Oryctolagus cuniculus: one gene and its partner. The protein of the gene in region 1 interacts with the protein of each later gene in a biochemical or structural test. Links are inferred from orthologs where the notes say so. Each region holds a gene or a part of one and is shown in the gene's direction. Other genes may lie near its edges.

Region 1 (4,295 bases):
TTTTGACATCTCTGTGGGTATGAAAGATATAGGCCAAACAAATGAACAGTCAACAAAGCTGGGGGGTGCGGGGGATAATTACATACAGGATCCGCTACTTTGTACCTACATTCACCTCACAGGGCATCTTCCTATTTAGTCTCCTGTCCCAGGGAAGCAGAAGTTGAGCTATTGTGAAGGCACTTAAATAACCTTATTTCTAAGGCTCCTCAGTAGAAAGACCCAGGGCTGTAGCTAGTGCCAAATGTTTTACTAATCACTTCTGAGTGAGGAATGCAGCTTTATGGGCTGCTGCTTCTCGAACTGAAGGTGTAATAACTTCTAGGGACAAGCCTGTAAGAGTGCAGTTACTCGTTCGCATAAAACTTATCACATCATCTGTGACTAATAAAACTTGAGAAAGGGGAGTGTTCAGGCTTTCGGTAACATGCTTGTGCTAAGCTTGCCAGAGGGCCCTGTGCTTAATTGTAAAAATCTGTCAGTACCCCAGGATTCAAAAGGCATCAATCAGGTCTGTCGGCAAGGAGGGAGTGAAGGCTGTGTGACTCTTCCATCACTGGAAAAGATGTGCTCAGGAGAGAAAAATGTAGTGGGGCGGGGGGAAGGGGCGAGCCAAGTGCAGGTTACAGGAAAACGGAGTTGCAGACTGGAATTTCACGCCCCTCGTCTCCCTTGGACTGAACACCGCCTTTTCAGTTTTATGCCGCCCCATGTGTGCAGTGAGACGTTATGGAAGCCGGCCAGCCTGGGCGGTGGAGCACACACGGCCCACGCTGTGAGCACAGCGGTGCGCGGGAAGGCTGCGCCTTTCGGTGGGGTGCAAGATTGTGTCACTTGGCCGGGACTGGACGGCTGGTGCTCCTTTCCTTAATTAACACTTTCAGGGGACGAAAACCAGCACAATTGCTGTTCGGACAGTTCGATCGGGGGAGGAGGGGTGTAATGGGAATTTTCCAAGTCTTGCTCTCGGTGTCGCCACCCCCCCCCCCCTTGATGCTAAGAAGTCTGAATGACATCCAGCTATCGAGACATCAAGACACAAATTCCCGTCCCCAGGGATCTCTGCTGGGAGTCTAGACGCCGGCTACTTCGCCGGTCCGAGCCTGTTTTCTTACCTGTAGAGTGGCGACAACACCTACCCGAGGGAGTCGCAAGGAGTCTCATAAATGCCATGAACAGAGCTCCTACGTCTTAGCTAAAGCACCCCGAGCAAGAAAGCTCGCCTTTCGGTCCGCCCTTAGAGGCTGCCAGCCGCGAGGATGGGGGAATACAGGCAAAGCCCCCCGAGCGACCCAAACGCCAGGGGCAGAGGCCCAGCTGCGGAGCCCGCCCGCCTGTCCTGCCGGGCCGCCAGCCTGCCGGCGCCCGGCACCGCTTCGCCCCACCCCCGCACAGCCCGGGCGAATCCGCGCCGCGAGTTCCGGGCGCCGGCGCCGCGCCGAGCGCCCCCGGGCCCGCCCTCGTCGCTCCCGAGCCTCCAGCTGTGCCAGCTACGCCCGAGCCCCGGGAGCTCCCAGCCGCCAGCGCGCAGGTGCCCGCGGCCCCCTCGCCCTGCAGGTAGGCGCCGCGCGCGGACGCAGCGGCTCGCGGGGCTCCCACCGGAGCTGGCTTGCCGCTGCCCTGGCCCTCCGTCCCTCCTCCCGCTGGCCCGCGCAGCCAGGCCGCTCCTCGCCCGGCTTGGACGGGACCTCAGCGCCGCGTGGGCGGTGGACTGCCGAGCAGCCCCCGGCCTCCCGCGGACGCCGCGAGATCCGGTGCTGACAACCTGGGCTGCCTGCGGGCGGAGGCAGGGGGCGTGCCCTGCAGGGTGCACCCCGACTCGCGCAGCCACGGGCCCCCCCCTGGGCGTCCAGCGCCGCTTGGGTTAGCAAGCCCCGCGGCATGACAGGGATAGGGGCGCGGTGGCACCAGCATCCTAGACGGACCAGGAAGTGCCAGGTCCCGAACTTCTGCGGCCCTGGGGACGCTGGGCTGGGGTGAACTGCTGGCTGGCAGTGGGGCGTGTGCTCAGAGCCTGTTCTCAGGGCACTCGGGTCTCAGATGCAGGCGTGCCGTCCTCCCAGCGTTGGGTGAGATTGTGTGATGCCGGGAGCCTTGGTGCAGAGCTACCGCGACACCTGTGAATGCTTCTCCTAATCTCGTCATAGTGCTTTCTTTACTTCCTCCATGAAGCGCTAAGCGCAAGTCGATTTTTAAGGACACCAGGAGTTTCCCCGTTTGATCATCCCCTGGGTCTAGTCCCCAGAATGGGGAGTTAGCTTCGCTTTATTGGGCGACCGCTAACTTTAGATAACCCTTTGTGGGCCTCCCAGGGCCTCTGGGAGCAGGAACCCAGAGCACTGCGAGATATGTTAGATGGATTAGATAATGATGGTGCCCTGGAAATGTCCAGGAGAGGAGTCTACAGTTTTGAGCCGTTAACAGACGCCGCATTGATCCACTGCCCACTTGAATAAGCAGCTCTTTCAGAGTTAACTTTGGAGGCGTGCGGACAAGTGTGCGTGCAAGTGCATTACAAAGCCTTTCAGCCTGAGTTTGTAGGCAGCCTGTAAGTGTTTTTCTGGGGGGCCTTTCATTATATATGCTCCCAGCCTGTCTTCTCAAGATCTAGTACAACTCACGATCCAGATAAAAAAAAGTATGCCTTATGAAGACTTTGAGGAGGGCCTGTCTTTTCCGAGAGATTTATGAACCGTGGTGCTAAGGACTGTGTAGGGCTCATTTGGTTTTGCTGATTCACTTATATAGGTAGTGGTGGGGAACCCTGCTCCTTGGAAGTTTCCAATGACTTAGTGGGTGTTCCTTATAGTTCTAAAGTTCATTTACCTTTAGCTGTTCCAGGGTTTGTTTTTTTTTTAAGCTTTTTTTTAGTATGTTTTTATTGTAAAATGTACACCACCTACAATTTCCCATCTTAGCTGTTTTTAAGTGCACTTTTCGTGGCATTAAATACATTCGCGTTGTTTTGCTTGTGTCACCATCACCCAGCCACAAGACACTCTTTTTTGTGTACACCATTTGAATGATTGTATTGCAGCTTTAGTTTTCTTACTATGCAAGGCTTGAGGTTTTCTCATGGTTTTAGAGGAGCAGCTGCTTTTAAAGAGGATGGGTGAAGATAAGCTTGTGAGCTGGTTAGGATTGTATAGAAGAATGCTCAGAGGGTTAGCTATCAACCAAAAGGAATGGCAAGGAAACTGTTGACAGTTTCCTGCCCTGCATATCTAACAGAAACTACAATGGACAGTTTTGTGTCTCCTTCAGCCTGTTTAAATTATGCTTGAGCTTGGGAGGTGGAGCCTTTTCCTTAACTAGAAGTGAGTTTGATCCAGCTGGCTGCTTGGTGTAACAATTTCCTGTCCACCATGGGTATTTACTAAAGATGGATGCTGGAGTATCCAGCAGGTAGGATCTGGCTCCTAGGCTGAGTCACTGCAAGGCCTGTTTTTATGTTTACAATCCTCAAGTCTTAGCACCACAAAATAAAATTTATTTGCTAGGGTGTGGTCAAAAGCTATTGCAGGGTTAAACTGAGAAACATATAACCCAAGTTTCCTGTGAACCCGTGACGTTTTTGATTAGTAAGGGATTTACCCAAATGTGGGAACACATTCCAGTGTGTTTGCTTCCGGAAATTCACAGCGCAGTGTCAAACCTGGATCCCAGATGTGGCTAGTGCAGGGTGATTAAACAATGTCTAACATATAAGTGTTTCACAGAGTCTCAATTTTTTTTTTTCTGTTGTGAAACTCCTAATTTTTAAATTATTGAACAGACTTGGGACAGAATCAAATCAACTGTTTGTGGAGAAATACACACATTACATACACTGTATCAGGCACTATTCTAAGTATTTTACTAATGTGACCATATTGAATGTTCCAAACAACCCTGTTTAGTAGGTGATCTTATTATCTGGATTTTGTAGATGAGGCATTTTGATGCATAGCCAAACCATACAACTGGCACATGGCAGTGCTGGGGTCCCAGCCCAGGCAGTCGGAACACAAGAATTTTGGCATTGGTGTCTCTCCAAAAAGATACAACCTGTGGTTTTATCTCTCTCATAAATGCCCTTTTATTTATTTGTTCTTTTTTTCAGGTTTCTGTATTTCTTTTGGTTCTTGTTTCAGCATAAGTAATGTAACATAATTACATGATACAGCTCCTTTGCAGAAGAGGAGCATGGTTATGTCCAAGGATGGGGGGTTATGTCTACCCTGGGAAGGTCCTGGAGAACCCCCTGCCGGCCAGGCCTTCCCACTTGGCTGTGAGGAAATTGGGACAAAGGATCC
Region 2 (4,607 bases), on another chromosome or scaffold:
ATTTAAGAAACAAGAATAAGGAAGTCACCATGACCCCCAGAGGAACATAACAACATTTAAATATTAGAATATTAAGATGAGAAGATTGAGGAAATGATAGAAGAGTAATTTAGAAAATTAATCATAGAATTACTCAAAAAAATCAGAAGCAAATCTATGAGCTAAAGAAAACCATACAAGAAATGAATGAAAACTTCTCCCAAGAAACTGAGAATATAAAGAGAAATCAAAATGAAATTTTAGAAATGAAAGAAAATGGATCACATAAAAACTGCAATGGAAAGTCTTTACAGCAGACTTGAAGAGGCAGAAGAAAGAATATTTGAATTAGAAGATGAATCTTTGAAAATCTTACAGACAAAAAAAAAAAAAAAAGAAGAAGAAGAAGAAACTAGAAAGCAATGCTGGAGGCCAGCGCCAATGCTCACTAGGCTAATCCTCTGCCTGTGGTGCCGGCACACTGGGTCCTAGTCCCGGATACTCCTCTTCCAGTCTAGCTGTCTGCTGTGGCACGGGAGGGCAGTGGAGGTTGGCCCAAGTGCTTGGGCCCTGCACCTGCATGGGAGACCAGGAGGAAGCACCTGGCTTCTGGCTTTGGATCAGTGCAGCGCCAGCTGTAGTGGCCATTTGGGGGGTGAACCAATGGAAGGAAGACCTTTCTCTCTCTCTCTCTCTCTCTCTCTCTCACTGTCTAACTCTGCCTGTCAAAGAAAAAAAAAAGAAAGAAAAGAAAGAAAACAGTGTTGGAAATCTATGGGATACTATCAAATGACCCAACATACCAGTCTTAGGAGTTCCTGAAGGAGAGGAAAGAGAAAAAGGAATTGAAAACCAATTAAATATTTACAGAAAATTTCCCCAATTTGGAGAAAGATAGAAATGTTCAAGCAGAGGAAGTATATAGAACTCCTAACATACATGACTAGAAAAGATATTCACCAATACACATTGTAGTCAAACTTTCTACAGCAAAACATAATGAAAAAATTCTAAACTGGGCAAGGGAAAAGTGACAAATCACTTTCAGAGTATCGCTAATTAGACTCACAGCTGACTTCTCATCAGGAACCCTACAGGCCAGAAGGGAATACTGAGATATAGTCCAAGTCTTAAAAGAAAAAAAACCTGCCAACCCAGAATACTGTACCCCACAAAGCTTGCATTTATGAATAAAAGTGAAATAAAGACCTTCCATAACAAACAGAAATTGAAAGAATTCATCGAAACTCGTCTAGCCTTACAGAAGATGCTTAAGGATGTGCCATACACAAAAACAAAGAAAGATAGCCATCATTATGAAAGAATGAGAAAGCAGAAAACCCCAATAGAAATACAAAATAAATCCAAAGTAAATGATATGAATATTTATGGAAAAGTGGAGGGCCAGGTCATTACTTATCAATACTCACCTGGAATGTAAATGGCCTCAATTCTCCAGTTAAAAGATACAGACTGACTGAATGGATTGAAAATCAAGACCCATCTATCTGTTACTTATAAGAAACACACTTCATCAACAAATATAAGTAAAGTAAAAGGATGAAAGTAAAAGGATGAAAAAGATAGTCTATGCTAACAAAAACCCAAAATGAGCTGGTGTTGTGATTTTAATATCAGACAAAATAGGTCACAAAGAGACAAGGGCCGAGCCCCCTCCGGCCGGAGCCAGCGCGGCCACGGCTTCAGAAGCCCGCGGGGCTGCGGACCGGCTCGAGGTGCAGATTCTTCTTAGTCCTTTGGTGGAAACTCTGCAACACAAGATGGCTGCAAATAAGCCCAAGGGTCAGAATTCTTTGGCCTTACACAAAGTCATCATGGTGGGGAGTGGTGGCGTGGGCAAGTCTGCTCTGACTCTGCAGTTCATGTATGATGAGTTTGTGGAGGACTATGAGCCCACCAAAGCAGACAGCTATCGCAAGAAAGTAGTGCTGGATGGGGAGGAAGTACAGATCGACATCTTAGATACAGCAGGGCAGGAGGACTATGCTGCCATCAGAGACAACTACTTCCGGAGCGGGGAGGGTTTCCTCTGTGTCTTCTCTATTACGGAAATGGAATCCTTTGCAGCCACAGCCGACTTCAGGGAGCAGATCCTAAGAGTAAAAGAAGATGAGAATGTTCCATTTCTGCTGGTTGGTAACAAATCAGATTTAGAAGATAAAAGGCAGGTTTCCGTAGAAGAGGCAAAGAACCGAGCGGACCAGTGGAATGTTAACTACGTGGAAACATCTGCTAAAACGCGGGCTAATGTTGACAAGGTAGTTTTTGATTTAATGAGGGAAATTCGAGCCAGAAAGATGGAAGACAGCAAAGAAAAGAATGGGAAAAAGAAGAGGAAAAGTTTAGCCAAGAGAATCAGAGAAAGATGCTGCATTTTATAATCAAAGCCCAAACTCCTTTCTTACCTTGACCATACTAATAAATATAATTTATAAGCATTGCCATTGAAGGCCCAATTGACTGAAATTACTTTAACATTTTGGAAATTGTTATGTATCACTAAAAGCATGAATTGGAACTGCACTGAAAGTCAGATTCACTTTAAAAAGAAATTAATGTGGCTTCTCCAAGAAGCAAAGTTCAGCTTATTTCATAACTGCCTACATTTATCACGGTCCTGAATGTAGCGTGTGTGTCTCTCAGGCAGTCTTTCTGGAACTGTTAAATAAAGAGGTGAGATGTGGGGTGGGGAATGGGAGGAAAGGCTACTTCCTCTGGTGTTTATTATAAAGCTTAAATTTTATATGATTTTAAAATGTCTTGGTCTACTGCCTTGAAAAATGACAATTGTGAACATGATAGTTAAACTGTACCACTTTTTTTAACCATTGTTATGCAAAATATAGAAGAAAAAGTTGTTGGCATGGTTGTTGCATATAGTTAAACTGAGAGTAATTCATCTGTGAGTCTGCATTAATTAACTGGTGATTAACTTAGAAAAGTGGTGTAAACTTGTACACGGACATTTTGGAACATGCCTTAATTTAGAAACCGAAAAATACCCAGTTTCATCATTCTGTGAGACACTGTATGCCTGGTATGGAGTACAGCTTTTGTATAGAAGGTTCTTGAGAAATAACTGTCCACTCGGAGTCTGTCCAGATGAAAACTGTGTGCCATACTCTGGTTCTTAAATAAGGTTCCAGAGCTTCTTGACTGCTTTAATAAATTGTAAGGTGGTATGAAATGAAGGGCCAGCATCTACTTGTAAGATAATTTGAGACTTTGAAGATTCAGTACCCCTTGTGTGTGAGTGAAGCCTCTTTTTTTTTTTCCTAAGATGCTGGTCCCTAGAAATCACTTTCTACGAGTGTTGAGCATATAAGTGTTACTTTTTAATCTCCTGGAATTAGGGCATAGGACAAACGTTAGCAGCACTAAGGCATTTGGCATTAGAACACTTGGGGAGAATAAGCATGCTTGCCACCTGTTTATTTCTAAACTTGTATTCCTGAGGTTTACAGTTTGGCTTTATAGAAATTATTGAGAGTATCTGTAGTCTGTTTATGTTCCTAATTAAGCACTGTGTAGCTATATCTTCCTAAAAATAACATCAAGCAATCAAACCCAGGCATAGTGCAGAAAACGTGTGTGGCACACAGAGACCACAGTGTGTCAGGCGGTGTCACTATTGTGTGATGTTGCCACTGGAAGAGTTCCGGCATGCTATTTGGATACATAATTTTGATGAGAAATACACAGACCACTGTCACTTTTCTTTTCCTGCTCAGGATGGAATTAGGACAGTTGATTTTAACAGATTTTTTTTTCTTTTTTCTTTTTAGTCAGCCCTAATTTGAACAAGTCAAGGATGTGTTCAGGCATTCCAGGTAACAGGTTGTATATGTAAGCTAACAAAACTAGACTTTTAAGGAACTCAGCTCTTTAGATACTATATCCAGCTTGTCATGTTAAATATTTGTTCCTCAAAGGTGTGAGATGTACATCTTCCATTTCATATTTTTCATAGGTTATGCCATGTGCAGAATTAAAGTTACCAATGTAATACTGGCCAGCGGGCCCAGCAGTCTCTATGTGTACTCACGCATTGCAGTCTTATTTAACCAGGGGTCCTAACCACTAACATTGTGACTTTGCTTTGAGACCTTTCCTCTCCTGGGTACTGAGGTGCTATGAAGCCAACTGACAAAGATGCATCACATGTCTTAGGCTGATGCCACTCCCCAATTCGTTTATTTGCAATTTGAGCCATTTAAAGACCAATAAACTTCCTTTTAAAAAAAAAATAGGTCACAAAGCAAGTCTCAGCAAATTCAAAATAATTGAAATCATTCCATGCACCTTCTCAAACCACAATGGAATGAAGCTAGAAACGAACTATCTCTAGAACATAATTAGACATAAGGACTGAACAGCATGCTCCAGAATGAATAGTGGGTCATAAAAGAAATCAAACAGAAATCAAAAAATTTCTGGAAACAAATGAAGATGGCAATACATTATATTGAAACCTATGAGATATGAGATACAGCAAAAGTATGTTAAGAAGGAAGTTCATAGCAATCAATGTCTACATGAAAAAACTGGAAAGGTACTAAATAAATGAGCTATCAATGCAACTCAAGGATATAGAATATCAACAACAA

Evidence for each region.
Region 2: the proteins of PLD1 (region 1) and ras-related protein Ral-A-like form a complex in vitro, tested with the Homo sapiens proteins (2 studies listed by BioGRID). The link is inferred for Oryctolagus cuniculus from reciprocal best matches to the Homo sapiens genes PLD1 and RALA.

Annotation. Positions count from the first base shown.
Region 1 is NC_091435.1:108,448,147-108,452,441, forward strand, and holds the start of PLD1 (phospholipase D1), read left to right. Parts: upstream 1-1,417; 5' UTR 1,418-1,557; intron 1,558-4,295. UniProt on the Homo sapiens protein: Function as phospholipase selective for phosphatidylcholine. Implicated as a critical step in numerous cellular pathways, including signal transduction, membrane trafficking, and the regulation of mitosis.
Region 2 is NC_091443.1:114,067,719-114,072,325, forward strand, and holds ras-related protein Ral-A-like, read left to right. Parts: upstream 1-1,622; 5' UTR 1,623-1,760; coding exon 1,761-2,381; 3' UTR 2,382-4,247; downstream 4,248-4,607. UniProt on the Homo sapiens protein: Multifunctional GTPase involved in a variety of cellular processes including gene expression, cell migration, cell proliferation, oncogenic transformation and membrane trafficking.